4 linked regions of the Diceros bicornis minor genome follow. Each later gene encodes a partner of the first gene's protein in a complex. Links are inferred from orthologs where the notes say so. Each region holds a gene or a part of one and is shown in the gene's direction. Other genes may lie near its edges.

Evidence for each region. Proteins that work in one complex are often made in the same cells at the same time.
Region 2: SART1 (region 1) and LSM5 share a complex: the UniProt entries of both Homo sapiens proteins name them as parts of the U4/U6-U5 tri-snRNP complex. The link is inferred for Diceros bicornis minor from reciprocal best matches to the Homo sapiens genes SART1 and LSM5.
Region 3: SART1 (region 1) and PRPF3 share a complex: the UniProt entries of both Homo sapiens proteins name them as parts of the U4/U6-U5 tri-snRNP complex. The link is inferred for Diceros bicornis minor from reciprocal best matches to the Homo sapiens genes SART1 and PRPF3.
Region 4: SART1 (region 1) and PRPF6 share a complex: the UniProt entries of both Homo sapiens proteins name them as parts of the U4/U6-U5 tri-snRNP complex. The link is inferred for Diceros bicornis minor from reciprocal best matches to the Homo sapiens genes SART1 and PRPF6.

What each region holds. Positions count from the first base shown.
Region 1 is NC_080770.1:7,333,576-7,341,323, reverse strand, and holds the start of SART1 (U4/U6.U5 tri-snRNP-associated protein 1), read left to right. Parts: upstream 1-4,729; 5' UTR 4,730-4,793; coding exon 4,794-5,118; intron 5,119-6,989; coding exon 6,990-7,047; intron 7,048-7,448; coding exon 7,449-7,504; intron 7,505-7,748. UniProt on the Homo sapiens protein: Plays a role in mRNA splicing as a component of the U4/U6-U5 tri-snRNP, one of the building blocks of the spliceosome. May also bind to DNA.
Region 2 is NC_080742.1:56,561,661-56,568,988, reverse strand, and holds the start of LSM5 (U6 snRNA-associated Sm-like protein LSm5), read left to right. Parts: upstream 1-4,324; 5' UTR 4,325-4,386; coding exon 4,387-4,432; intron 4,433-6,183; coding exon 6,184-6,279; intron 6,280-6,819; coding exon 6,820-6,847; intron 6,848-7,328. UniProt on the Homo sapiens protein: Plays a role in pre-mRNA splicing as component of the U4/U6-U5 tri-snRNP complex that is involved in spliceosome assembly, and as component of the precatalytic spliceosome (spliceosome B complex).
Region 3 is NC_080743.1:54,784,554-54,791,718, forward strand, and holds the start of PRPF3 (U4/U6 small nuclear ribonucleoprotein Prp3), read left to right. Parts: upstream 1-4,161; 5' UTR 4,162-4,234; intron 4,235-6,709; 5' UTR 6,710-6,753; coding exon 6,754-6,898; intron 6,899-7,165. UniProt on the Homo sapiens protein: Plays a role in pre-mRNA splicing as component of the U4/U6-U5 tri-snRNP complex that is involved in spliceosome assembly, and as component of the precatalytic spliceosome (spliceosome B complex).
Region 4 is NC_080758.1:271,954-279,009, reverse strand, and holds the start of PRPF6 (pre-mRNA-processing factor 6), read left to right. Parts: upstream 1-4,052; 5' UTR 4,053-4,170; coding exon 4,171-4,241; intron 4,242-6,696; coding exon 6,697-6,865; intron 6,866-7,056. Other genes in the region: SAMD10 (sterile alpha motif domain-containing protein 10), read right to left, coding at 1-67, 146-327, 1,136-1,244. UniProt on the Homo sapiens protein: Involved in pre-mRNA splicing as component of the U4/U6-U5 tri-snRNP complex, one of the building blocks of the spliceosome.

The sequences.
Region 1 (7,748 bases):
CATGAGGCTTACATTCTACTTGGGAGGAAGGATAATTAATAAAGAAATGACCAAAATATATAGATAGAGATGGAAAATACCTGAGAGGTAGATGGAGTGGTCAGGGAGTCTCTCTTTCCTTGACATTTGAGCAAAGACCTGATTGACAAGAAGGAAATGGCTATGAGATCTGGGGGAAGAATGTTCCAGGTCAAGCTAGGTGCTGTCTGTTCAACCATCTGCACCATTCATTCATCCCTTCATCCATCCATTGATCCCATCAGCATTTTGTTCCTCTTTCCCATCCATTCACCCATTGGTCTGTCCCTCAAACCAAAAGGTATTCACCTAGCTCCTACCAGATATGGGGGCCAGGGAGAAGAACAAGATCTGGCCCCTACCCTCCCCTTTGCAAGGGGAAGGTAGCAATACAGGCGAGGTCACAGATGTGTGCACTGAGCTCCACAGAGCTCAGGTCATTCAGAGTTGGGGCACAGGGCTGGCTGGAGTGGGCAGGAAGGCCTTGAGCTGGGCCTGAGGGCCGAGCCCCAGAGGCAGCCTCCATCAGGTCAGACTTCCACGACAAAGCCCATCCCCCAGGCTCTCGGCTTTCTGGGCTCCTGCAATCCCTTCAGACCCCATACTCCCCTACCCGGGACCTGACCCTCTCTGAGACGCCTGTGCCCAGCTGACTTTTCCCATCCCTCTTTTTTCCCCTCTCACCCCCCAAGAAGCCTGCTGCAGGCCTGGGAGCGGCAGCAGCGGGAGGAGCGGCGGCAGGCTGAGCTGCGGAGGGCCCGGGAGCAGCAGGTTCAGCAGCAGGTGGCTCGCTGCCTGGCAGCCTACGCGCCCAGAGGGAGCCGGGGGCCAGGGGCTGCCCAGCACAAGCTGGAGGAGCTGAGGTAGGAGGCCAGGGCTGCGGAGGGCCCGGTGGGGAGAGGGCAGGGAGGCAGTGTGAGGTGTCAGACAAGGACCAAGGAGACCCAGCCCTCCCCTTCCCTCAGGGCTGAAACTCCACGGCCACCCTCCCGCCCAGGCAGGCGGGCCACACTCTACAGATGAAGACACTAAGCCATGGGAGGAGAAGGGGCCGGGCCAAGGTCACCCAGTTAATAATAACAAGCCCTGCAGCTGTGGAACGCTCAGGTTAAAATGTTCTACCTGCATTATTACACTTTCAAGTCTTGTTTTTCCGATTTCAAATGCCAGACATGCTTACTACAAAAGTTCAAATATTACCAAAATTGTTCTTGTACAATGGGAACAGCGCCTGTGATCCCACTCCTGGAGACGACCACTGTTGATGGTCAGTGAAGAGTCATCAGTGTTCTTCTCTTCCTATAGTTTGACCATGAAAAAAAAAAAGGTGGGGGGCCGGCCCAGTGGCGTAGTGGTTAACTTTGCGCGCTCCGCTTCGGCAGCCGGGGGTTCGCAGGCTCGGATTCTGGACACAGACCTACACACTGCTCATCAAGCCATGCTGTGGTGGCGTCCTTCCCTGGCACATAACCAAGGGTCCACAGCAAGGCAGTGTTTTTCCATGGGGCCCAGCATACTTGCTGGAGGTCCCAGCACGAGTCTCGGATTCTTGCCTGCTGCTCTCCTGTCCTGTGTGTGGGTGCTGCCACCACGCCCCTCGGCTTCTCTTATGTGCTTCACAGAAGGATGCCTGGTCCGGAGCACGGTGTGGCCAGAGGGCCCCTCTTGCTGCCAGGATGCTCAGCTTTTTGAGCAGACACATTTGTGACAAGCGCACAAACTGGGTTTTTGTAAATGGATTTGTGCTTCCCCAGTGGAACCCTGATCTTTCTGGGATGTGCTCTTTTCATTTGCAACACATTTCTTTAGTTCTTCTGTCCCAACTGCTAAGCTGTCTGCTTATCAGAACCACAGAGGATGCTGGCAAGCTTGTCCAGTCCCTGCTATGGCACAGACAAGAAAACTGAGCCCAGAGCCCAGAGTGGGGCCTTGCCCAAGGCCACAGCATCCTCCTCGCAGGTGCAGTGTGAAAGGGTGCAGGGGTGTGGACACGGGGAGAGGAGAGGCTGTGCAAGCAGATGCCCAGTTGCTCAGAAGCCAGTGATGGCCCCTCTCCCTTGGGGGTGGCTGCAAGGCTGGGGGAGCCCTGGCTGCACAGCCTGCAGACTTGGGCTCAGGACTCAGTCTCTCACTTCCCAGCTGTGCAACCTTGGACAGGTTCCTCAACCCTCCTGAGCCTCAGGTGCATCAAGGGTAAAATGGGTCAAATAACTCCTGCCCCACTGACCTCAGAAGGAATCCAGGGTGAGGATGGGAATGAAATGGCTTTGCAAAGGCAACGGCCAGAGAACATAAACATAAAGTCCTTAGTGAGGACGAGTGGGCTCAGGAGTGGGGATGGCTGTGTCCACGGTTAGCTGCCCAGAGGCCTGTCTCCCTGCAGGCGCCAGGAGCGACAGCGCTTTGCTGAGTACCAGGCAGAGTTGCAGGGCATCCAGCACAGGGTGCAGGCCCGGCCCTACCTGTTCCAGCAGGCCATGCAGGTGAGGGCTGGCACAGGGCTTCTCCCAGGCTGAGTGGGTAGGAAGCAAGGTGGGAGTGGGCCCCCTTAGATGGGACCCCTGGCTGCTGCCCATCTGGAAGCCCTGGGACGCCCTCAGTACCCAGAGCCCCACTGTGTCCTCGGCAGCCCTGGTGCAGAGCAGGAACCCCTCCTCTCTCTCCTCAGGCCAACGCCCGGCTCACTGTGGCCCGGCGCTTCTCCCAGGTGCTGTCGGCACTGGGACTGGATGAGGAGCAGCTGCTGGTGGAGGCGGGAAAGGGGGACAAGGAGGGGACCTCCAGGAAACCCAGGTGAGACCGTCTAGCTGACCAAGGAACCGGCTCTGCCCAGCTGCGGGGAGAAGAGGCGCCATCACCAGCCCTCTGAACTCTGTCTCCCTGCCCTGGGGAAAGGCAGAGGGACTCCGTGGGAAGCCACATTGATCCACCCTTAATCTAAGCTTCAGTCCTGCCCCATCTACTCCCAGGTCTGGAGGACTAGTTCTAGCAGTCAGCAGGGTCTTCCCCAGGCCCTGTCCTCCATGTCGCCTGAGGAAGACAGGGCCAGGGTTATTTTCCCCACTTCCCAGTGAGGAAACTAAGCACCTGAAGGGCAGGGTCTTGCCCAAGGTCACAGGAGCAAATAAGCAGCAGAGCCAGTCTGGGAACCTGTGGCCATCTGAGTGGCCACACACCAAGGCCCCATGATGGGCTAGTGCCACTCCAGTCACCCCAGGTATACTGTCCCTTATGCTTTAGAAGAACCTAGTGCAGAGCAGGGATTATGAGGCCCAATTCACAATAAGGAAACTAAGGCTCAAGGAGAGGAAGTCACTGGCTCAGGGTCACATAGCATAGGAGCCAGATTTGAACCCACATCATCAGTGACAATGGCCTTTCCCCTCCTATAGCCCAGGTCTCCTTGGGCATGAGGGTGGCGAACTGCAGAGCGCAGTGACCTCTATCTGTGTCTTCATCTTTAAGGAGACACAGGTCAACAGGGGTGAGAATGGAGCACTCTTCTCAGAGCCCCCCAAGGACAGAACCCACCGGCAGCCAGCCTGACAGGCACTCCACCCAAGCCCAGACCAGAAGTCCAGTCCCTGAGAAAAATTAAACGCTTTATGGAAAATACAGCGTGAGACTTCCAGTGGTGGTGGGAAGAGGCTGCGGGTTGGGAGTAGCAGGCGGTAGGTGGGTAGGCAGCCGGCTTAGCTTGTTCTCGCATCCCCCAGGAGCTCCCGCTGTTCTGGCTGCCCCCTCCCAGCACACACAGCCCCGCCTCTGCTCCTGAGGAGGGGGGCGTCTCAAAGAGCAACAGCTGCGACTCCTCCACCCCCAGTCGCCAGCATACATGTTGGGTTCTAGAAATTCAAGAGCGAGTAAGACAGAATGGCCTCTGCCTTTGGCGACTCCCAGTCCGGTGGGGGAGGGGGCGGACCTTTAAAGGGGCACAGGCATCACACCGTAACAGATGGACTGCACAGGGACCGCCAGATCTAGCAACTGTGGGGTGTGGGTGTCAGGAGGAACCGTGTGAGCTGGGTTTTTAATGTTAAATAACTTCAAGTTAGAGCCCCTCTTCTCAAGAAATACACACACACACACACACACAGATGCGCCAAATTTTGCACTCAATTTCAGGGGGTTCACCAACACACAGAAGCTCATCTGGAGCTCCTTAGCAGTTCACGGGGCGCAGGTTAAAAACCCAATCCAGGGAACGTGGGCAGGCAGGGTCTGCTGCCAATACTGGTTGTAGGGGCTCGGAGGCCGGGCTGTGGGTCTCAGGAGGAGAACATGCTGCGTCGTCCAACGCTGGATGGAGCCACGACCCCAGGGAGTAGTCCACTAGGAGGACGCCTACTGGAGCGGCGGGCGCTGTCCACGGAAAGTCTGTGAGGCAGTGAGCGTCCCGTGGCTGGGGGTGTGCAAGCGGAGGGAAGCCGGGGAGGGGCTTCCAGCTCCGGGGACGCTGACTGAGACAGCCTGTAGGTCCTTCAAGTTCTGGGATCCGGTCTTCTCCAGACCGGGTCCGCGAACATAGAAGAGCGCACGCGCCAGGGGACCACAGGCTCCATGACCGCCCGCCCGCCCGAGGCGGCCGCGAATGCGCAGTCGGGCGCCGATCCTGGCCCTCCCATGAGCCTTTGGGGCAGGCTCCGAGGGGAACAACGGAAGCAGCCGCTCTTGGTTTCCGGCAACACGACAGCGGCTGCCGGGCGACCCGGAAGTGTTCCCATTTTGCGTCGTCTGGGCTCGGCGGTGGCCGGGCTCGGGACGGACATACCACCATGGGGTCGTCAAAGAAGCATCGCGGGGAGAAGGAGGGGGCTGGGACGACGGCGGCGGCCAGCACCGGGGGCGCCACCGAGCAGCCGCCGCGGCACCGAGAGCACAAAAAACACAAGCACCGGGGCGGCGGCGGCGGCGGCGGCAGCAGCGGCGGCGGCGGCGAACGACGGAAGCGGAGCCGGGAGCGTGGGGGCGAGCGCGGGGGCGGGCGGCGCGGGGCCGAAGCCGAGGCCCGCAGTGGCACTCACGGGCGGGAGCGCAGCCAGGCCGAGCCCTCCGAGCGGCGCGTGAAGCGGGAGAAGCGCGATGACGGCTACGAAGCCGGTGAGGGGCGGGGCCTGCGCGGGGGCGGGGCGGAGGTCCCGGGTGGGCTCGCCCAGCCTTCAGGCCGAGGCACCCCCCAGGCTGTTTTTCTCAGCGCTTAGTCTTGTTACGGTTATTTGAGATTAAAGGTTGTCTTCGTTTGTTACGCTCTGTGAGCACAGAGATTTTCTGTTTTTCGCAATTGGTACATCAAGGGCCTTCAGTAAATGTGCAGAGTGAATGAATGAACGGATGAAGTGGTAGTAGCCTGTGCAGAGGCAAGAGAAAACCTGGTATTGGGCGAATCCTGTAGGGCTCACGATAGAGACGGGAGGCTGTAAGATAGGCAGGGATCGGAACACGAAGGGTGCCGTAGGCCCTGTTCCGAAATTCGAACTTTGTCCTGAGAGTAGTAGGGAGCCATGGATTTGAGTCGAGGAACGAGTCCATCATATTTTGCAAAGATCACTGCATTGAGACCTAGATCGAGGGTAGACAAGACTGGAGGTCAGGTGAGGGCTGATGGTGGCCTGCACCAAGGCAGCAGCAATGGGATGGAGAGATGTGGACAAATTGAAGAGGTGTTTTGGAGGAGGAATTAACACGCTTGGGTGAGGGTGGCAAGGAGAAGAAGAAATGGAGGATGGCTCCTTGAATTTTGGCTTGAGCAGCTAGGTGGGTGCTGGTGTCATCTACAGATGTTGAGGAGTTTGAAAGAGAAGCAGACTTTGCAGGGAAGATAATGAATTCAGTTTTGGAGAGTGTTGTGTTTGATGTGTGTGAAGAAACCCAGGGTTTGGCCTGGATAGAGCAGTTTGGGTGTCATGAGTAGTTAGGTGTCAAATAAAGTTCACTAAAAGATTGACGAGTGAGAAGCCAGGGTCAGGAGTGGAGTCTACAAAACACCAATATTTTAGTAGTAGGTGGAGCAAGATACTACAAGAAGGGAGGTGGAGTAGCCAAAAAGGCAGGAAAAGCATAGAACCCGGTGTCATGGGATCTGTGGGAACAGAGCATTGTTAGAAGTGAGTGATCAACAGTGTCACACACCACAAGAGATCAAGCAAAACCAGAGCTGCAAAGAATCCATTGGATTTAGAAATAAAGAGTCTGGTGACCTTGGAGAGAGCCCGGAGGGGTTGGGATGGATCCAGGGTCCGGGTGGGATAAAAGGGGAGGAGGTAGGTTGCAGGGATGCAGAAAGGGTGAGCACATGGTGGCAGCTGGTTGGGGTAGCTTCATCTGAGGGTGTCTAGCTTCTGTCTGTGGTGCTCAGTGAAGTTGTTTGCTGTTTATGAGCTGGGTGGAGGAGGTCCGAAATGCTTTTTTTGTCTCTCTGTCCCCAACGTCCCGCACAGAGCAGGCACCAGTAAGTGTGTTTCTTGACTGTGTGAATTGCACGGAGGATTCAGTCATGCTGTCAGCGTGGTCCCTGCCCTGTGGGGAGAAACAGACCCAGGAGCAACTGACGGCGCTGTGGAGTTCAGGGAAGAGCAGTTCATTCTGATCAATAATTCAGCAGGACCTTACGAAGGAGGTGGCATTTGATCTTTGCGTTTGGATAGGAATTTGTCAATCAGAGTGAGGCCAGGGAGGGCAGTGCAGGTTGAAAACACAGAATATACAAAAGTGGAGAGGTGGCGGAGTGAGGGATGCAGAAAGTTGGACCTTTAGGGTTGGGAAAGGAAGGTACGTAGAAGAGGCAGAGTTCTCAGACACTGGGACTCAAGTAGTGGGAGTTACTGGGGTGAAAGAAGGCTGCTGTTTCCTGGTGTCTCAGCAAGGCCCGCGTGCTGGTGAGGGGCCCTCATCTTCAGCCCTGCAGCTGGAGCGGAGGAAGTGGCTTCTTTGCCCTGTGTTCAGCTCCTGAGCCGTGCTCCTTGTTGTTCCAGCTGCCAGCTCCAAAACCAGCTCGGGAGATGCTTCGTCACTCAGCATCGAGGAGACCAAGTAAGTGCTGTCTCCTTTTTGTTTCTCGTTTTTTTTTTCTGAGACAGGTGGCTCCTGGGGCAGTTGCTTGGGGAGGCTCTCACACACTAAAGCGTTCTGATTGGAATGGGAAGGGCTGTAGAAATCATCTTAGCCAACCATTTGAGTTACAGAAGAGGACACTAAGCCCCAAGAGGAAGGATGGCATTCCACTGGTTAGGGGCAGCCGGGCTTAGCGCCGGTGTGCCCTGATTTGGAGGCCAGTGCCCTTCCCAATGCCCTGGGCTGCCTGGGTCAGGCGCTGTGTTTGGGACCCTTAGGACCACCCACTCCCATCCTGTTTTCACCCTCTGTCTGTCCAGAAATGCATTTGGTGCCCCCATTTGTTTGACAGCTTCTAACAGTTGTACTCTTGTCTTCAGTAAGCTCCGGGCCAAGTTGGGGCTGAAACCCTTGGAGGTCAATGCCGTCAAGAAGGGTGAGTGTGGGGCTGAGGATGGGGGTGGGGGGCATCTGAAGACAGTGGGGTTAGAGTCCAGGTTCAGCCCAGTTAGTGGTCGTGTGTGTGTATGTGTGTGCTTGCTGATAGGCGTGAGGCCCCTCCTTGCTGTCGTAATGGGGATCTGGGACTCAGGTTCTTCTGTAAGTTTGAACAGTTGGCACTGCATCCTTACGCTGGCTGTGAGGCAGCGTTAGGTGGAGTGAGAGATGCACACAGTTGC
Region 2 (7,328 bases), on another chromosome or scaffold:
TAGCCAGGGCAGTTTGGGGATAAACTAAAGGATAGGTGCCCGCTTTAAACAGAATTCGAGATTACTACAATACTTGGCTGTGAAGTTTACCATCGCTAGTTGCACATCCCTTAGTTTAGACAACCTTAGCAGTTATTATCCTGGCCTTGAAATTTAAGGACCTGCATTCTAATCTAAGTAGAGCTGAGAAAAACAATAGGCTTCCTGTAATCAAGGTTGGTTTCTATGATTCAGTAGAATTGTTTTAGTGCCAATAAAAATACTGTAGAAATTTTTCAAGATGTTGTTACAATTTCTTTTTTATATTACAAAATTCTTGGCATTGGCTCAGAACTGTGTGTGAAACTATATTATTCCCTGTATGCGTAATATGTTACTGTTTTCTTCCATCTGCCTTGATATTTTCCACAATTGGCATAGCTAAAATTAAAGTCTAACTGAACATCTTTTAAAAAATATGTAAGGGCAGAGCATCTTAGAATTCTATATCTACAGTGAACACCAACTGCTTAATTCATTGTGCAGGAGACCCAGTAATAGATTTATAAAAATCTGTGTCACTTTGCATCCTAGAGCTTCCAACAAAGATTAAATCATTTATTCATAACTATTATGTTGCTTAAATGTTTAAAAAAATTACTTAAAATAAATGCTATAAACAAAGAGGATATGTTACTGGGAAAATTGGGCAAGAAAGTAAGCAAGGGAATTTCCAGAATTTTTTCCATCTCTAAATATACAGACTGGTCCATTTAAGAGTTTAGAATAACAACTGTTACAGTAGTTTTTAATAAGTTGTATTATTATAGAATAAATTCATTAACAAGATATTGTCTATAAAGACAAATATCTATTGAGAAAAAAATAGATATTTCTCCTTTATTTTAAAAAGTGTCAGAAGGAGATTATCAAGATTGGAAATAACAATTTGACATAACAGAATACTTTCTGAATGTTATTTTGAAAGGAAACTTTTGTTTGTATTTTTATGATGACATTTGTCTCCAGGGAAAAAATTAGAAACACTTTTCTGAACATATAATACACTGAAGAGTCTTTTCTAGTTACATGTATTTTATGATGACTTGTAAATCCTATTTTATGTCTGCTCTATAAGAGCTAAAGGGAGAAAAACCCTGGAGACAGAGCTATGACATGTTTTCAAGTTCATTAAAAATGAACTTTCCATCTAGAATCGGCCCATTGTTTCTTTTTTCGTCTTGCCTCAGGAAAGAACATGGTAAAATAAAACCACTCCCTTCCTGCAATCCCCATTAACTTTACTGGGTAAATGAACTATTATCTCCTTTTTCAGAGTATAAAGAGACTTACTTTATTCTTCATCAATAGTATTGAAAATTGCTAATGTTCATTTTTTTCTTGTAATGGAAAATTTAAAGTACTGACTTTCTTAAAAGCATGTTTTTCTGAATTTTAAACTCTTATCAAGTAGCAACAATGCCTTGAATTTGGTCCCTACCCTCATTATGGTATGGTGAAAATAAAATAAGAATAGAGATAGAAAAGAAAAACGAGGAAAAGAAAAGGACTTTACAAAAAAATTTGGCATTACTTTGTCTTTAGAATCTTATGAAGATTAAGGGGGATGTTGATGGGTATGAATGAAATAGAATCAATTTAAAGAACATTCATTAGACCCTACAGTACACCTGGAACTGTGGTAGGCAGAGAGAAGAAAGAAAGAGGGGGGAGAGAGAGAGAGAAGGGGGGGAGAGAAAGCGGGGGGAGAGAGAGAGAAAGAAAAGAAAGTAAGAAAGAAAGGAAAGAAAGAAAAGCAAAGAAAGAAAGGGAAAGAGAAAGAAAGAAAGGGAAAGGGAAAGAAAGAAAGGGAAAGAGAAAGAAAGAAAGGGAAAGAGAAAGGGAAGGAAAGAAAGGGAAAGAGAAAGAAAGGCAGAGGGAAAGAAAGAAAGAAAAAGAAAGGGAAAGGGAAAGAAAGAAAGGGAAAGGGAAAGAAAGAAAGGGAAAGGGAAAGAAAGAAAGGGAAAGGGAAAGAAAGAAAGAGAAAGAGAAAGGAAGGAAGGGAAAGAGAAAGGAAGGAAGGGAAAGAGAAAGGAAGGAAGAAAGAAAAAAAGAGAGAGAGAGAAAGAAAGAAAGAGAAAGAAAGAAAGAAATTGCTGTCTTAAAGTGGCTTATGTCTGGTTATAAAAATAAGATAAACATGAAACCACCAGCTAGCAATGCTAGCCTTTGTAGCACCTACTCTAAGCCAACCATCATGTTGAGTATTAGGAAACATGGATAAATAAGCAATAACAGCTCACGTTTAATGAATAAGCACTATGTGCTAGTCCTCTGCTAACCACTTTTCATGGATTATCTCATTTAATCTTCACAACAATCCTATCAGTAGATACTATTATCCTATGGGTAAACTGAGAATTAGGAAGGTTAAATAACTTGCCCAAGGTCAAATAACTAGAAGGCATTGTGGTGGAGATGAGATTTGAACCAAAGTGATTTAACTTCAGAACCAATGGATTTAATCACTATATTGCTTCCCAAAATTCTTGACTTTCAGGAATTCACAGTCTTTTTGGGGAAGAGGTAACCCTGTAGATACATAATTATAAGAGAATACATTGAGAGCATTCTGAGAGCTGTTAACATCCTTGCTGGATAATGAGAGAGCCCACCAGGTCTGCAAGTCAGAGAAGCTTCACAAAGATGGTCACATTTGAGCAGGGTCTTGAAGGATGAGCAGGATTTATTAGAACTGGGGGCCAGAGCATCCTAAGTGTAATAAAGTAAAATCATTAAGGACTGGGGTTATTAAGGGAAAACATTTGGGAAGGGAAGGGTTTTACGCCAAACTTACCGAAAGTATGTAAGATTTAAATTGAAGTGCAAGAGATGTTCGGAGGTGGGCACATGCCAATTGCACACAGTATTCCCTTTACTTGGAATGCTGCTCCTGCCCCTTTTCTGCCTATCCAATTTTATTCATCCTCCAAGACTAGATTCCTGTCAATTCCTTTGTAAAGCTTCCCAAGCTATCTATGTGGCCAGTGGGCAAATTATTTAACCTCTGAGTATGAGGAACTTCATCCTAACATCTGTCTCAAAGGATAGTCATAAAGATTAGGAATAAATGTATCTGTCAGTTTCTTGGCATATAATAGGCGCTCAATATTTAAATATGCAAAAAAGCCAGGATTGGCTTGGTATTTAGAAGGAGGCTGAGCTCTAGGGTGCTTTGAACTGAAAGGCCCTTCTGTAAGAGCTTCTGAACCTCCTCACTGATGTTTCCCTTAAATCATACCTACGTGTCTAGTATTCTTGAAGCTAAAAAAGGTCTTTTTGCTTTATATATTAAATTTCATGTACCTTGTACATAATGTTTGTTGTCTTTCTCTCCCACTCATCCTTAAGCTCCTTAAAGGGCAGAAGACCTTGTAGTTTTGTTCTGTACACTGTTTTATACTGAGCAAAATGCCAGACAAATAGTGTGCAACTAATATATAGTTGTTTGCTGAATGAATGATGGGTGCTTTAAAAACATTTGTTGTATGAATGATGTTCTTTCTGGCCTTCGCTGTTCACAGTCTTTAGCTTTAAGTTCCTAGGATACAAATAGAAAATAGACTAAGGCAGAGAATTTGTTTGCTTTCTATTCTTTTCAAAACAAAAGTGCAAAAGTATTAAGGTTTCTTAAGTGTGATGACATTAACATACAGTGACATCTGGTGGTTGCCTGTTAGACAATGTTTGTTGAAGAAATACGGAATACGAAGTCTGTAAGAAACTAAGACTCCTAGATATAACAAGACAAGAACGATGAATTAAAGTAGTAAAAAATAAAGAGAAAACATATTTTAAATCTCTACCCTAGAAAAGTTTTAAAAAATGCCGGTTATGCGTTTTCAATCCACTGGACTTTTAAAAGAAAAGGTAGATTCTTGAAGATTGAACGGTTTTTACGAAAATTGCAACACAGTGAGTTGGTGGCAGGAAAAACAAATTGATTCATACGCGTCTGAAGAAAGATCCTGGCTTGGGTTAAGACGCAACTTTATAGAGGAAAATAAGACGACTCAAAAGTTTCCGTATTTTGCAAAGTCTTCCGGGTTAGAGGAAGAATTTATTCACAAGGCAGAACATCTTTAACGGTCTCCCGAAAATTTCTAAGGGAGAGTGAGTGAGTAGCCGCAGACACAGCAGAATACTCAGTGGATAAGAAATATTTCGCGATCTCACTGCCCCGGAAAGAAGCAACTGGGCGCGATCCACGCGGACTGGACCGATCGCACGCTCGGCCGCAGATTGGTCGAGCCTGCCCGGGCTGCGTGGGGGAGGAAAAAGAGGAAGCGTGCTTTTTCAAACTCGCCGACCCAACGTCGATGGACGCAGGCCACTTCCGGCGTAGCCATGGCTGCTAACGCTACCACTAACCCGTCGCAGCTGCTGCCTCTAGGTAATAGTTGCCCTGTGGGGCGCGCGGGCGGGGAGCTGAAGCTTAGGGTTGGGGGCCCAGGGGCTGCGGGGGAGGCTGCCCGTGTGAGAGCGTTAGGAAAATGTATCGGACCAACTGCTTTCCTTCTCCGCGGCTCGTCTCTGGTTTTAAGTCTTTGCGCCCTCAGGCCGCCCACGTCTCCTCAGCGTGGTAGGATTCCTTGAGGCAGGGACTTGTGACTCCCCAAACCAAACCGCCACTGGAAAAGGTTCACACTTGGTGAATGCGTCGCCAGCCGCCTCCGTTGTGAGCTCACCTCTATAGTCATGGGATTCAGTCCCGTTCCTCAACCTGGCATGTAAGCTCCCCAGATTGCACCCTGTCCTGTAGCTGGCCAGTTACTGCGAGAAGCACCGGGGTCTGGAATGAGCCTTAAAAGAGGAATCTGGGGGCAAGCCCGGTGGCGGTGGCTTAGTGGTTAAGTTCACACGCGGCGCTTTGGCGGCCTGAGCGTCTCCGGGTTGGAATCCCAGGCGTGGACCCACGCACTGCTCATCAAGCCATGCTGTGGCTGCGTGCCACATACAAAATAGAGGAAGATGAGCACAGATGTTAGCTCAGAGTCAATCTTCCTCAGCAAAAGGAGGAGGATTGGCAAGGGATCTTAGCTCAGGGCCAGTCTTCCTCACCAAAAAAAAAAAAAAAAAAAGAATCTGGAACTAGCTCTATTTGTCATTCATTCATTCAGCAAACAGTTATTGAGCATCTATGCACCAGACAATGTGGCCCGGCACAAGTCCACAAAATTTGTGTGTGTGTGTGTGTGAGAGAGAGAGAGAGAGGAAGATTAGCCCTGAGCTAACATCGGATGCCAATCCTTCTCTTTTTTTGCTAAGGAGGATTGGCCCTGGGCTGACATCCCTCTGCATCTTCCTCTATTTTATGTGGGACTCCGCCACAGCGTGACTTGACAAGCGCTGCATCCTCTGTGCCAGGGATCCAAACCCGCGAACACAGCCGCGTCTCCCCCCCCCCCCCCCCCCCCCCCCCCCCCGCTCGCCTCCTGCAGCCAGAAGGGAGCACGCAAACTTAACCATTAGGCCACTGGGTAGGCCCCGCTATTCAACAAATTTAAATCACGGCCATTGCCTGCGAATAGCACACAAACCAATGGAGGAGCTAGGATGCTGAACAAATAAACATCATACCAAATAACGCTAAGCCCGGTAAAGAGATGTTCGAGCTGCTATCAGAGTACAGAGGATAGACTTCTTAGGGTGAGGGAGGTAGTGACAAGAAGGAATCTCTGGTGAAGACAGTTATGCCTGTCTCTTCCTACGATTTTGTAGCTGAAGAGTGATTTAGTTAGTGGATGTGGCCGTGATTGAAAAGTTTTTTCCTTCATTCGACAAACTTTGAATCCCCAGCATATGCCAGGCACTGTCCATTGAGGGTAGAATGATCTGCCCTCATGGGGCTAAGAGTCTAGAGGGGTTCATATGTTAATCAAATAATCTAAAATAATATAAAACCACAGCCATGATAAATTGCTACAAAAGGGAAGTGGAGAACAGGGAGAGCTTTTTTGTTAATGTAGAGGTATATAGTATAAGATCTAAAGTTTTTGAATGAATTCTTTTCCTGGTTTGTATTTCACCATATACAAGTAATAAGTTCTGGTAGGCACTCAGATATTTGTGGAAGTAATGCATTGGTAAAATAATCTTTTTCCTCTCCCTCCCTTTTTTTTCTTTAAAAAAATATATCCATAGAACTTGTGGACAAGTGTATAGGATCAAGAATTCACATTGTGATGAAGAGTGATAAGGAAATTGTTGGCACGCTTCTAGGATTTGATGACTTTGTCAGTATCCTTTTAAAAGGTGGTGGTGGTATGGGTTTTTCTTCAGTATTTAAGAACAAAAGAACTATAGACAGTATTTACTGATTATTATAATAAAAATTAATTTGGGGCCTGCCGGTGGCATAGTGGTTAAGGTCATGCGCTCTGCTTTGGCAGCCCGGGTTCCAGGGTTCGGATCCCAGGTGCTGCCTGACGCACCGCTTGTCAAGCGATGCTTTGGCGGTGTCACATATAAAGTAGAGGAAGATGGGCACGGATGTTAGCCCAGGGCCAGTCTTCCTCAGCAAAAAGAGGGCAATTGGCAATGGATATTAGCTCAGGGCTCATCTTCCTCACCCACACCCACAAAAAAATTAATTCTCAGGGACGTTGTGATAGTGTTTTAAAAGTTGTTTGTGCTGGAAGAAGATTACCTACCTACCTACCAATCACAAGCATTTTGAATTTGAGTCATTGTGTTAGACGTTATAAGTAAAACTGAACAGAGGTAGAAGCCAGAGTAAATTCAACCTGGTATATTTATTTTCTTAACACAGAATTTCAGATATGGTACTGGAAGATGTCACTGAGTTGTGAGTAATGTTAAAAATTAAAGAATGGGGAGGGAGGATCTCTCAGTTTTTAATTTAAGGCAGTTTTAGTACTGTTGAGTCAGTAAAATGATATATGCGAAAACATTGCCTGTTGAAATTACCTTAAAATAGAAATTTTATCCACTGACGCTAGTGATTGGATCGGAAGGTTATTACCTCAATGTAATTATTACTAAATTGGTAGGAAATTAGTGGAGACAAAACTTTAAGGTTAAAGATACTTAAAAACAGCCAGGAATCTTAGGGCTCAGGTCACATCAAGGAACTGATAATAAGAACATTTAATGCTTTTGATTAAATTAATTGCTCTGTAATTTATATATAATATAAAATGTAAATGATGGCTAAATTATATTGATTATAATCGACCATTATTTCCGCTTTCAGAATTGAATTGAATACAGATTGGTTTAATGGGTAGGAATCAGTAGTAAGTAATAGTAACAAGAGTGAGGATAGT
Region 3 (7,165 bases), on another chromosome or scaffold:
GTGTGGGTTTATTTCTGGGCTTTCGATTCTATTCCATTGATCTGTGTGTCTGTTTTTGTGCCAGTACCATGCTGTTTTGGTTACTATAGCTTTGTAGTATATTTTGAAATCAGGGAGTGTGATACCTCCAGCTTTGTTCTTTTTTCTCAGGATTCCTTTAGCTATTCGGGGTCTTTTGTTGTTCCATATAAATTTTAGGATTCTTTGTTCTATTTCTGTGAAAAATGTTGTTGTAACTTTGATAGGGATTGCATTGAATCTATAGATGGCTTTAGGAAGTATGGACATCTTAACTATGTTAATTCTTCCAATCCAAGAGCACGGAATATCTTTCCATTTCTTTGTGTCTTCTTCAGTTTCTTTCAGCAATGTTTTATAGTTTTCGGTGTACAGATCTTTCACCTCTTTGGTTAAGTTTATTCCTAGATATTTTATTCTTTTTTTTGCAATTGTAAATGGGATGGTATTCTTAATTTCTCTTTCTGCTACTTCGTTGTTAGTGTACAGAAATGCAACTGATTTTTGTATGTTGATTTTGTATCCTGCAACTTTACCATATTCGTTTATTACTTCTAAAAGTTTTCTGGTGGATTCTTTAGGGTTTTCTATATATAAAATCATGTCATCTGCAAATAGTGACAGTTTCACTTCTTCCTTTCCAATTTGGATCCCTTTTATTTCTTTCTCTTGCCTTGACCCAGTTTGCTTTAATTTTTGTATATGATGTGAGGAAAGCATCCAACTTCATTCCTGTGCATGTGAATATCCAGTTTTCCCTGTATCGTTTGTTGAACAGACTGTCCTTTCTCCACTGAATGGTCTTGGCACCCTTGTCAAAAATCAACTGACCATATATGTAAGGTTTATTTCTAGGCTGTCTGTTCTATTCTGTTGGTCTATATGTCTATCCTTATGCCAGTACCACACTAAATGTGTTTTATACATTACATTTAATCCTCACAATACTCTTTTGAAATAGAAATTCTTATTCTCATTTTATAATTGAGGAAACAATCTCATAAAAATTAATTACTTGAAGGAATCACAGCTAGTAACTGGGAGACTAAAGATTTAAACCCATCTCATTCCAAATGTTGGAAATAAAATCATTTCCTAGAAAAACGTTTCCCTCCGGGAATTAAACCCAGCTGGTTAAAAGCACTGAAACAAACTTACAGCTCTACAGAGTTGGAACTCATTAACCCATTTAACAGACTTTTTTCATTGAATATTATATGAGACATTGGTGTTAGGTGCTATAGCTACAATGAGGAAATTGGGGCATGAATAACTTGAACAACATGTTCAAGCTTCCTCAATTTGTTACTCAAAGCTAAGCTTTATTCCATTACGTCATGCTGCACCATAAGGGAAGGTGGGTTTTTTAATGTATTTCTCAAACTTCTTAAAAACTAGCCTTTAGATACAAAAATCTTCTGCTCCCTGGGAAATTCTAATAAGCTCCCTAGAGAATAACTGCATTTTTCTGGTCAGCCTATCATCTAAGAAAACACCTTGGAATTTTAGTTTCTTTTTTTTTTTTTTTTGTGAGGAAGATTGGCCCTGAGCTAACCCCTGTTGCCAATTTTCCTCTTTTTTGCTTAAGGAAGAATGGCCTTGAGCTAACATCTGTGCCCATATTCCTCTATTTTTTATGTGGGTCACCACTACAGCATGGCTTGATGAGTGGTGTATGTCCGCACCCAGGATCCGAACCCACAAACCTGGGCTGCCCAAAGACAGCGTGCTGAACTTAACCACTACGCCACCAGGCCGGCCCGGAATTTTAGTTTGTATAGTTTGTTATCTGATATAATGGAATATTTTTTCATTTCCTGTATATGAAATTGTGTCATAATGGATTGGACATGCTTTTTGTGAACTATGCTTTGCCCACATGCATGCTTTTAGGAATCACTGGTTTAAAGGGTCAGGAAAGTTTAGAGCCTCGTTTTGAAGAAAGGGAAAAATACAGGCTTATTGCTAAAATGAAGAAAACAGTACTGGCAGGTGTTACTCATTTTTTTTTTTTTTTAAGATTTTATTTATTTATTTTCCCCCCCAAAGCCCCAGTAGATAGTTGTATGTCGTAGTTGCACCTCCTTCTAGTTGCTGTATGTGGGACGCGGCCTCAGCATGGCCGGAGAAGCGGTGCATCGGTGCACGCCCGGGATCCGAACCCGGGCCGCCAGCAGCGGAGCGCGCGCACCCAACCGCCAAGCCACAGGGCTGGCCCAGGTGTTACTCATTTATCATTTATTGAGCCTTTACTGTGTCTGGTGCTATCCTAGGCCCTGGAGATAAAAACAATATGACACAATTCTTGCCCTTAGGGAATTTCCATTTAGGTAAAAACCAGACTTCAGCAGGTTCTGAGGCCTGCAAGATCTACTGCTGAAAAAAGATTCATTCTTTAATTCAACAAATATTTATTTAATTACATCAGGTGCTATTGTAGACATTTAAGATATATCAATGACAATGATTCTTGCCTTTAAGGAGTTTACATTCTAGCAGAGGGAGTCAGATGATAAGGAAGAAACATAAGTAAATGCTCTAGTACTAGTATGGTAGGTGGTGATAAGTTCTATAGAAAAAGAAAAAAAAAAAACACTGGGGAAATTGAGGGCTAAACAGGCTTCAGAACTAAATAGGGTGGTCATGAAAGGTTTCACTGAGGTTACATTTGAATAAAAATCTGAAGGAAATGAGGGAGCAAACCATGCAGATATCTGGATGAAGGACAATCCAGGCAGAAAGCAACAAAAGCAAGGGCCTTGAGGTGAGCTTATGCTTGGCATGTTCAAGGGACAACAAGGGGTCAGGATTCTGGAGCTGAATGAGTCAAGGAAAGAGTAGTAGTAGATGATATTACAGAGCTAAGAGAGTGGGGCAGATCTTGTAGGGCATTTTATTCTGAAGGAAAGCCAGGGGAGGGTTTTGAGGAGGGGAGTAATATGACCTTTCTGATGTGTTAACACGATCACTATAGTACCTACTGTGCCAGTACTAGATAATTTACTTACTATGTTTATGTGATGAGACTAGACTAAAAGGGACAAAGTGGAAGCAAGAGAAAGCAGTTAGGAGACTACTAAAATAATCAAGCATAAAGGTGATAGTAGTGGAGGTGAGAAGCAGATGGCTTCTGTATATATTTTGAAAGTATGGCCAATGGAACGGAGGAGTCCAGGATGACTCTAAGATTATTGGCCTGCATAACTGTAAGAATAGAGTTGCAGTTACCTGAGATGAAGAAGACTGTTGGCAGCTGGTTTTTGGGGGAGGTGGTGGTTAGAATCAGGAGCTTAGTTGGGGGAGGTGGTGGTTAGAATCAGGAGCTTAGTTTTCATTAGGTGAGTTTGAGATGTCTGTTTTACATTTATGTAGGCAATTGGATATTTTATTATGTATCATGTAGCTTTATTGAACTCGGTGAAAAGCACTGTTTAAAGTGCATTACCCCCAGTCACTCTTGTGGTCCTCACAGCAGCCGTATGAGGTGGATTTTTTTTTTTCAGGTGAGGAAACAGAGGGCCTAAGTAACTTGCCTAATGTCGCAGCTAACGAGTGGGAGAGCTGGAACACAAATCTAGGCAGTCTGGCTTTAAAGCCCGTGTTCGTTTTTAATCATTAAGCAATATTGATTCTCAGAGGATGTGTGGCACATAGTAGTAGGCAGTCAGAAATATTTGTTCCGTCAATGAATGAAACAATAAAAGGCATGGGGGGGCTGCTATCTTCGGAGTCCCCTTATACTCATCTTTTTTTTTGGATGGTCTCTGGTGCTACTGTTAAGTAAGGCAGAAAGGTTGAAGGGTGGCTAATGCTAATGGATCACGAATCTCGGAGGGTTTACTTTCTGCCAGGCCTGTTTAGCCTCAACGCGGAAGCCCCGCTTTTAGTTCTATCATCACTTTAGTGCACTGATTCTCCTCCCTAGGAATACTGCAAGCAGCCTAATTTCTGCTTCAGGCAACGTTAACTTTGCAGTAATCTAGATAATAGATTTAGCTGGGGAAACTTTATGGCTCCGCCACGCGTGCTCTCCTCCGCAGAGAAAGTGGCTACTACGGCTGCGCGAATCAGCGGCCGGGCCCTCCCCCGTCACATGTTGGGGGACTGCGGCGTGGCGGCGGCCGTGGCGGCAGCCACGGCAGGCCGTAGGGCGGTCGGAGGGTTTCCGGTTCCGGTGTAACGTTCGGGCTCCGTCTCAGGGGCTGAAGTTTGTGAGGTGAGTAGTGGCCGCGGGCCCAGAGAGGGTATCCTCGGGTCCGAGCGACTGGGTCCGTGGCTCAGTCCAAGGGGAGGGCCAAGGCGTTAAGGTTCAGCGGGAAGGAAGCTGAGAGAAGTACAAGGTTCTGAGGAAGAACGGGTTGGAATGAAATTGTTGAGAGGAAAAGGGCGGGGGCGGGAAGGGGACGGGGTGGGGAGACCAGGTCTGAGATGAGGAGTTTGGGTAGAACAAGGTGCGGTAGGGGGCCGGTCGGAGAGACGGAGAGAGCGGAAAGAGAAGAATGGGGCCTTCAGGAGGGGTGCTCGGGTTGTAGCAAAGAAGAGCACGGAGTAAGGAAATCCTTCAGAAGATTGGATTCTGCTGCCTGCTCATTCAGAGGAGATCATTCTACCTTCCTCTCTTTCCACGCCATAAACCGCCCCCAGCCCCGCCCCAGGCATTTATTGAACATTTGATTAGTGACAAAGCTAGCTACTGTTTGAAACTTGCATTTTTGCCCACTGGCTGTTTAGTTTGCACATCATCTTATGGAGGACTGGGTTGAACTTGAATATATTTGTTAGTATAGTGCTTGGGCACGCATTTCATCTGATAGAGTGGTACTTCATTTATTGCTTTGGATTTTCAAATTGCTTGTGCTTTCTAACCTATGATTCAATTCTAGTGGAATATAAGCCCCATTAAGGCAAAGGAGATTCTTGTTGTATGTATCCTCAGCACCCAGTACAGTGCTTGACATTGAGTAGCTATGCAATAAATTTTTACTGGATGAATTAAGTATGGTGTAGGTATGGCAATTGTCCTCATTTTGTAAGATGAATAAACTGAGGCTCAGAGGAATTACTTGTCCAAAGGCTGATAAATGGTAGAGCTCCGTGTCCCAGCTGTTCGGTGTGAGCTCTTTCTTCACTCTCTATGGTGTCTGAATATGTTTCTTTTGAGCAATGCACATTTAATATGTAGAGATTGATAGGCTATACTGCTGTCTCACAATGGGTAAATAGAGCCACCATAGAATTATTCATATAACGTGTTCCTGAGGCACAAAATCTTTCACTCCTAGATTCATGACTTTAAACTACTAGCTTCATATAGTTATACCAAAATTAAATATATTGTTTAGCAACAGGTCATATAGAGGATAAACCTGCTAAGAATGTAGAAGTTAATCAGACTGTGTCTTTTTTTGTGTGTGTGAGGAAGATCAGCCCTGAGCTAACATCCATGCTAATCCTCATTTTTTGCTGAGGAAGACCGACTCTAAGCTAACATCTATTGCCAATCCTCCTCCTTTTTTTCCCCCAAAGCCCCAGTAGATAGTTGTATGTCATAGTTGCACATCCTTCTAGTTGCTGTATGTGGGTCGCGGCCCCAGCATGGCCGGACAAGCGGTGCGTCAGTGCGCGCCCGGGATCTGAACCCGGGCTGCCAGTAGCGGAGCGCGTGCACTTAACCACTAAGCCACGGGGCCGGCCCAGACTGTCTTTTAGGAGAAAAGATGTCTTCAAACATCTTGAAAGATTAACTCCCAGATCAGATCCTGATGTATGGCACTGCTGGGAGGAGGTTAGCTTGGAAATTGAGGTCAGTGCAGTTTATTGTTTTAGACACTATGGAGAAAAATCAGAGAAATAAAATTTTCTCTATGCTCATGAGGAGTTCTCAGATTTAGGTAGGAGATCAAAATGTAAACATGAATAATGTTTAAGAATTATACTAACTTGCATTAAATAATAAAGATTTGTTGTAGAAAGTCCTTTATGCTAGTGTTTTCTCTGCTAAGCTGAAAAGTAGAATAGAGGTGAAAGGGGAGAGGGAAAGTACATCCAAAATGAGAGTACTCTTTTCTCAGCTGAGGGATTACTCTTATCAAGTCAGCTGACAGAGCCCCTGTAGAATATGAGGAAAAATTATCTGGGTACAGAATTCCCACTGGGATGAATATGACTACAGAGAAATGTGACAGCACATTTTTAAGGATTATGCGCTTTAATGTAGAATGACTGATCTGGATAAGCCCCACTTAGTTGCATCACTTAGAGGAAGGGAAACCTATAGGTCAGGGCTGAGTTAAGGAACGCCTGCCTGGAAGCAGGAGGAATAGAAAAGCTAGCCTCTGGGTAGGCTTTTTCAGTCTTGTTTTCATGTTATATGTTTGCCAGTCCTTGTTGATATGACAGGATCAAAAAGCTAGAACTCATTTCTCAGACTAAGTTATTGCCAGGGTTTGTGTATTCCACAGATTTCGTTGATCCACTGATACTTACTGACTTAGGGTTAAAAATCAAACGGAATGTAGTTCTTTCTGCTTTAAAGTATGGGTTCTAGGGAAACTGTTTGGCTTGAGATGAAGTGGAAGAGCTTGCCTAAAGATTGAGAATAGGGGTGGGGAAGGCATTCCTGATGTACTAACTGTTGCCTGGAATCACTTTAGTCTTTTCCTATCCTAACTCTTTCCTGGTTTCTTTTTAGGTGCAGTATTGAATCCCATTTGAGCTATCCTTCTTTTCCAAAGAATGGCACTGTCTAAGAGAGAGCTGGATGAGCTGAAACCATGGATAGAGAAGACAGTGAAGAGGGTGCTGGGTTTCTCAGAGCCCACAGTGGTCACAGCAGCACTGAACTGTGTGGGGAAGGGCATGGATAAGAAGAAGGCAGCTGGTATGTACCTTTCTGAATCTTTTGACTTAACATACAGGATGATCCCAAGCACTGCTTTGAACTTCTCCAAAATTCTCTCTGTTGGGAGTGTCTGAAAAGGTCAGGCCACATTTTATTTTCTCTTGTGTTATAATGACCTAGACTAAATGACTGTTTTTGCTTTTTCTCTTATTTTTTTATACTATTTGTGACATATTTTGAATATCAGACTGACTTCCTTCAACCACTGTGCTGAGTTACCTAAGTTATATTTACTTAGGAAATATG
Region 4 (7,056 bases), on another chromosome or scaffold:
GCCTCGTCAGGCCGCCCAGTGAGGGACTCGTGTGGTACAGGCCATAGTGGTCAGAGTACAGCCGGCCCTGCAAGGGGAAAGGGGTGGCAGGTGGAGTGAGGTGGTAGGGAGGGCAGGAGCAGAGGTGGGTCTAGTGGGTGGGTACCTGGGGGCCCTCCGTGCCAGGCTGCTGCAGGAGCTTGACGGGCCGGCCACCCACTGCCCTCTGGCTGCGGGAGTCATGCCAAGTGAGGCTGGTGCTTGGTGTCCTAGGCAGATGGCAGGGGATGGTCTCGGCTGACACTGTGTGCTCCAGGAGGGTCCGGCAGAAGCTGAAGTGGGCAGTGGCTGTGGAGCAGGGGTGCCTGGTCAGAGTGGTCAAGGGCAAGGCCAGAAGCTCCTCTCCCTGTGATCTAGCTCTTTGCTTAGCCTGTCTCCCTTCCACTTTCCCAGTTAGGGGTTCTCAAGCCCCCAAAGGCAGAAGGAAGCATGTAAGAGCTGTCTTGAGGACTCCACCCAGATGGAGATGGGGTGGGAAACTGGAATAAAGATGAAGAACTGGAAACACCTTTCCCCCTCCGAATCCACAGTTTGTGCTTTAGGAAGCAGGATGGGTGCTGCTTAGATTAGAGAGAGGACGTGCCTCCAGGGAGCCTAAGACTTGCAGCCAAGTGAGGGGCCATCCTGGGACAGCCTTGACTTCACGCTTGCCTTGGGCTGGCACATGCCACACCAGACCAGGGTATACACACAGGACCTGCTTTGAGGAAACGCCAGCCCCAGTGTCCTGGGAGGCCCTGGGTGGTGGGGAGACCCCTCTGGGTGCACCATCTACCCGTCATTGTTGAAGGCACTCAGTCTTTGCAGCCGTACCTGGTGTTTGAGGCTTGGCCCCTAGCTGTCTGTGCTCACCAGCTGTGACTCATTGACAAGAAGCCTGAACTCTGGGCAAGCCGATAACCGGGATTCCTGCTCTCCCACCTCCCACAGGGACCCCTGGCCTAGGACAGCTCCTGTGTGTGTGGGGGCTCCTGCAGGCATGGGCTGCTTAGCACAGGTGTGCAGGGTGCACCCATGTGCCCAGGGCCCCATGGTGACGCCTCGTGCTCTCTCTTTCTATACCAACTTCATCACACCCCTCAGGTTTTAGTTTTACCATCATTTCTGGGCTCGTTGCTGACACGAGTCAGGGAGTGCAGACACCTGGATGGGCCTCTCTGAAGACCATGCACAGGTCTTGATGAACAGAAGGTGCCCAGAAACATTGTGAATGGATGGATGAAGGCTCTAGTGGTGTCAAGTCAACAGAACCCTGGGGAAAGACGGGAAGCTGGGCCCAGGCTTGCCCCCGTCTTTACAGTACCCAGGCCCTGACTCAGCAGGCAGGATCAGGTTCTCAGGCCCCAGCAGAGTGAGAGACTCTGCCTCCCCTGGACACAGCCCCCCATCATCCCCACTGAGAGCAGGGTTTGGCAATGTGCCCAGGAGGTCTCTGTAATGAGGCAAACCCACATCTTACTCTTCCTCCTTCCACCAGGTAAGATTCCCCCGACTTAGCACCCCCTCCCCATTCTTGCAACTTTCAGGATTCGGGTGACCCAGGTGACTAAATCTGAGGTCTAGGGCCAGACAGAGGGTGTGGCCAGTGTGGCCATTGCCCTGAGATGGTTTCTAGTACGGTGAAAGAAGACTTACTCTAGGCGGGCACCTTTAAGGGTATACAAGCGCCTGGGTTGCAAGGCTTCTCCTCTTGGGAGGCCTGGCTAGGGCAGGAGCGCACTGCTTGGGGAGAACCAGTCAGACGCCTCGGCCCTTGCGGCACCTGTCCCCAGCCAGCCGGGCCCCGCCCATTTCCTACCCGCACTCGGGGAGGGATCTCTGTCCATCTGTGCGTCCGTCCCCCGGTCGGTCCCTCCCTCCCAGCTCCAACGTCAGAATTCCAGTAGGAAATGGGGTGGGGGCGCCCAAGGCCAACTGTGGCCTCGGCCCCCCTCTCGGCCCCAATGCAAGGGCTGGGGAGGGTTTTTTCAGCGCGAAGGAAAAGGTGACCGCAGGGTGGTGCCAGCCTGGGGACAGGAGCCACAGCCGGCCACCTCCCCCAAGCCAAGAAGCGCTGATCCCCAAGGCCTGAGGCCGCTCACCAGCGCAGGACAAAGACACCAGAGACCCCGTTCACCCAGAGCGCGGCCCCCACTCTGCGCGCCGCAGCCGCTGGGAGTCCGCCACGTCTCGCCCCTGTCCCTCTCGGTCCCCGAGCCCCCAGCCCGCGATATCCCCCACCCCGGTCCAGGCCCGCTCACCGTCCACATCCCGGCGCTCCCCGAAGCCGGCACGCACAGCCCCGGTGCGGCCTCGCGGGGGGCTCAGCTTGGTCCTCAGCTCCGTGAACATGGGGCCCGCGGTCCCAGGCCCCTGCACACGCCCCTCGCCGGGCGCAGGGGGGGCCGGTGTGGCCGGCGGGGAACGCGCGCCGCCGCCCCGCCCCAGCCGGCCCCGCGCCCGAGCCGGTCCCCGCGCCCGGCGAGTCTGCGCGGCGAGGCACCTGCCGCTGAGCCCTGAGTGCCGGGCGCGCTCCGGTAGCTGCGAGGTGTGTCGGCGGCGCGCGGGTCTGCGTAGGCAAAGGGTGCTAGAGCAAAGGGCGTCCGTGCGCACCTGGGCATGGCTCCAAGGACGAGTGACCCTATGCACCTACAGGCGCTCCAGGCGCCTGCAGGAGCCTCTGAGGCAGGGAAGTAAAGATGTATTCATCCCCTTTGTGTGTGGCAGGGTGAGGGAGGCATCCTACCTGCTCCTGGGACCTTCTGCCCATGGGGGACGGGGTCAAGGGCCAGACTGATCTCTCCCAGTCACCTCCCTCCCCATTCCTATTTCAATTTACTCACTCACTACTTTATTCAGCATCCTCCAGAGCTCTCCAGAGGTCTCTCCCTCAAATGGGCACTTGCTTCCCCAGAGAAGCCAGTTTGACCTTCTCTTACCCTACCACCACACTGTAAACTCTAGTTGGACAACCAGGGTCTCTCCCCTTTCCTATGTAGCCCCAAAATCTGACTCAGTGCCCAGGACGTGGCACTAAAATGGGCTTGGCTGGGGACGGGGAGGAGAGAGAAACTCCAAGGAGGCTGTGGCTGGCTGGAGGAACGTGTTTCCTCCAGGACCCCAGTGAGAAGTGCTAGAGTGGGCTGGGGGCTGCCTGGTCCAGCAGAAGGCCAGACTTGCGACAAGCTGAGTTTTGCCTGCTCTGCCAAGAGCCTGAGCGCTCCTCCCAGGGGTATGTGGGGGCCAGCAGATGTCCCACAGCAGAGCCAGCAAAGGTGCACACGGACATGCAGAAATGTGTGCAGAGCTCAGTTATGCACGTCCACCCGAGACATCAGCGCAGGTGGTCTGACCTGTACCCGTGCCCACCAGCACACAGGTAGGGTTTCGGGGAATTCGCCCACAGCCTGACTTGTTTCCACAGATATGCATTTGCTTGTTTTTGTCATTTAGGTCTCTAGGGGCTGGCTTGCTGCCCTCCCTGGAATGTACAGGGTCTGGCGGTGGTGTGGGTGGGGCCTGTATCGGGGCTGGAATCCGAGCACTGAGAGCGAGGGCAGCAGCCTGCACACGGGCACACACAGACAGGGGTGCCCGCAGTTACGACTGATACACCCTGCACAAGCTCGACACAACTGGACAGGCGTGCAGCTCCGCTCAAACGTGTTAGGGCCTGCCCGGGGCCAGGGCAACTCTGAAGGGCAGGGTGGGCAGCTGGGCTGGCTCAGAGGGAAGGGACCCACGGGTTCTGCTCGTACAGGAGGTCTCCTTGGAAATGCGTGGAGAACACGCAGCAAGCAGGGATACCCCAGGCTCAGTTTTGAGGTCCCGCAGGCTTTGTCCAGGATGGTGTCGCTCCTGGATCCCCCCGTCCGCCTGCTGCCGTCGCCCCAAGCAAAACCCCCGCGCATGCGCCTGCCGCATCTCTGGCCCTTAGCCGCCGGAAGTCGCCGAAAAACGCGTTTCCGGAACTTCCGCCCGGGGAATCCGAGGGGGTGGGGCTTCGTGCGCACGGCGCTCTCTGCTTCCGGGGCGCGGGTGACGCGGGGCCCGCGACGTCCTGCTGCGGCAAAGTCTCCGACGTCTGTGGGCTTTCGCCTCCGGGGGCGGTCTCCGACCCTTCCCTTGCCGACCCTCGTCGTCCCCGGTGCCATGAACAAGAAGAAGAAGCCGTTCCTGGGCATGCCCGCGCCACTCGGCTACGTGCCGGGGCTGGGCCGGGGGTGAGGCCTGCGGCGGGCCGCGCTGGAGGGGCGGGAGCGGGCGGCGCGCGCTTGGGCCCGAGGCCGGGGCGGGGGCCGGCGTAGGGGCTGGGGTAGCGGGCAGGGGCCGGGGTAGGGGCCGGGGTAGCGGGCAGGAGCAGGTGTAGCGGGTAGGGGCCGGGGTAGCGGGTAGGAGCTGGGGTAGGGGCTGGGGTAGCGGGTAGGAGCGGGGTAGGGGTCGGGGGTAGCGGGCAGGAGCCGGGGTAGGGCCCGAGGCCGGGGCGGGCGCCAGGGCAGGGGCTGGGGTAGCGGGCAGGAGCCGGGGTAGGGGCCGGGGTAGCGGGCAGGAGCCGGGGTAGGGCCTGGGGTAGCGGGCATAGGCTGGGGTAGGGGGCAGGAGCCGCGGTAGGGGGCGGGGTAGCGGGTAGGGGCTAGGGTAGCGGGCAGGAGCTGGGGTAGCGGATAAGGGCCGGGGTAGGAGCCAGGGTAGCGGGTAGGAGCTGGGGTAGGGGCCGGGGTAAGAGATGGGGTAGGAGCCGGTGTAGCGGGCAGGAGCCGGGGTAGCAGACAGGGGCCGGGGTAGCCGATACGGGCTGGGGCAGGCACCGTGGTAGCGGGCAGGAGCTGGGGTAGGGGCCAGGGTAGCGGGTAGGAGCCGGGGTAGGGGCCGGGGCAGTGGACAGAAGCCAGGTTAGGGGCTGGGGTAGCGGGCAGCGGCTGGGGTAGCGGATAAGGGCTGGGGTAGGGGCAGGGGCTGGGGTAGGGGCAGGAGCTGGGGTAGCCGGCAGGAGCCAGGGTAGCGGGAAGGGGCTGGGGGCCGGCCCGGGCCCCCGGAGAGACTGTTCTAACTGCCCTCACTTCTCTCCAGGAGGCAGCCGGGTTAGGGCAGCTCGCGGACAGCCATGGGAAAGCCGAAAACAATGATAAGATACTAGACGGTTTCGGTTAACCCCTGTAGGAGGAATAGTGTTTTGGAATTAGGACAGACCTGAGCATGACTTTTGTCTGCTACTTAGGAGTTGTGTGACTTGGAGTTTATGCGTTGGCCTGTTTTTTGGTCTCTAAGATGGGTAATAACACTGTCTTGCAGATCTGCTCTGCTGGGCTAATGAATCCCTAACGTGTAGTCAGAACACCTTGGCTACCTCCCTAGGCCAGGCAGACCTGTCAGCCTTGTCTTAAGCATGACATTCTCTTCCGATAATCTGGGGTAGATTCCTCTGTGTGGCTGCTGGTAGTGCCTCCTTCTTTCCCTGTCGTGTTGGTCGTCATATGCTGCTTGTTCAAACGCTGAGCTCCCTAGGGGCAGGGATGGCATCTGTGAGGCTTGTGACTGGGTCCCTTAATGCCTGTCTCACAGACGACTATCCTAAGTTGTTGCCTAAGTGGGGTAGTCATTGTCACTATTTGTTTGGCTATTTATTTGGTTAGGAAAACTATTGGTTTCTCTTGTTGGGGGTTTTATGTTAGAATCTGTGGGATACACGTAAGTCTCAGAAACTGACGCTGTTTTCAGAGTGCCTGCAGTTTACTAGTTGTGAGGTATTTGCATAAATAAGTACACGAAGGGGAACAGATTTAGAATTTTGGGGTTCCAGTCATCAGGGAATGCTCTATGGAGTGGTAACATTTGGCCAAGTTTAGAAGGAGAGCTGGAGTTAGGCACGTAGAGATGTGGCAGAATTAAAGGAGAAACGGACGTTTTGTGTGTTGAGCAGTTAAGAAAAAAGACGAGGCGTGGCGGAGGAGTAGCAAGGAGTCTCGGAGTGAAATGTGCAGTGAAGGGAGGGGAGCTGCAGCAAGTCAGAGGGACCAGGGCTCTTGGGGGCAGCAGAGAGACAGAGACGCTTCCGAATGCTGCGGTTGGAGCTGCACTGAAGCAGAGGAAGGCTAGAGGCAGGGGTGGCTAGCTTGGTTCCCAGCTGTGATGGGAGTCATGGTCTGCGGAGGAGGGCTTTCGGAGGTAGGTTCAGTAGAACTTGGTGACACCCAGGATGAAGAAGGAGGGAGAGGGAGGCAAAGCTGGTGCCATGGTGCCTGCCTTGGTGCCTGGGATGGCACTGCCATCATCAGCTGAGACAGCCCAGAGCAGCTGTGGGGTAGGCACAGAAGAGAAAGTGTGATTGGGTCAAGTTGGGTGTGGAGTGGGAGATGATCAGCAGGTTTTTGGAAATGGGAGGCTGGGGTTTGAGGAGGAGGGAGGCCTGATGCCCTGGCAAATCTCTCTCAAGGAGAATGTGGGGTGGCAAAAGATAGCTTTGGTAACCTCCTCAGGGTGGGTCAGAAAGTTTCTCCCCGGAAGAGGAGAACGGGCTAGTGATGTTGGAGAGCGTGGCCATGCGTAGCTCACTGCACCAAGATCTTTGAGGTTTCCCAGAGGTGTTAGGAAAAGAGATATTGTCAAGTGACGATGGTGCAGGGCGGAACACAGGAACAAGGTCACCCAGATAAATGGGCATCTTGGGATCTTCTCCAGTGCCACTGGCTTCACCACCCGGTCAGACATTGGGCCGGCCCGGGATGCAAATGATCCTGTGGATGACCGCCATGCCCCCCCTGGCAAGAGGACTGTTGGGGACCAGATGAAGAAAAGCCAGGCAGCAGACGATGACGACGAGGATCTGAACGACACCAACTATGACGAGGTGACTGGTGCTTGCCCAGCCGGTCTCCAGCAGGGCTGAGCAGCTTCCTAACCCAGGGCGCTGTTGGCATCTGTGACGAGTGGCTGGGCATTCCATATTTCAGCTGTTTGAGGGATGTCTTGGGCAGTGTGCGAGAGGGGAGCAGGAAAAATACAAAAATGTGCACTTTTATTGTCTCTTTAAAAGAGACA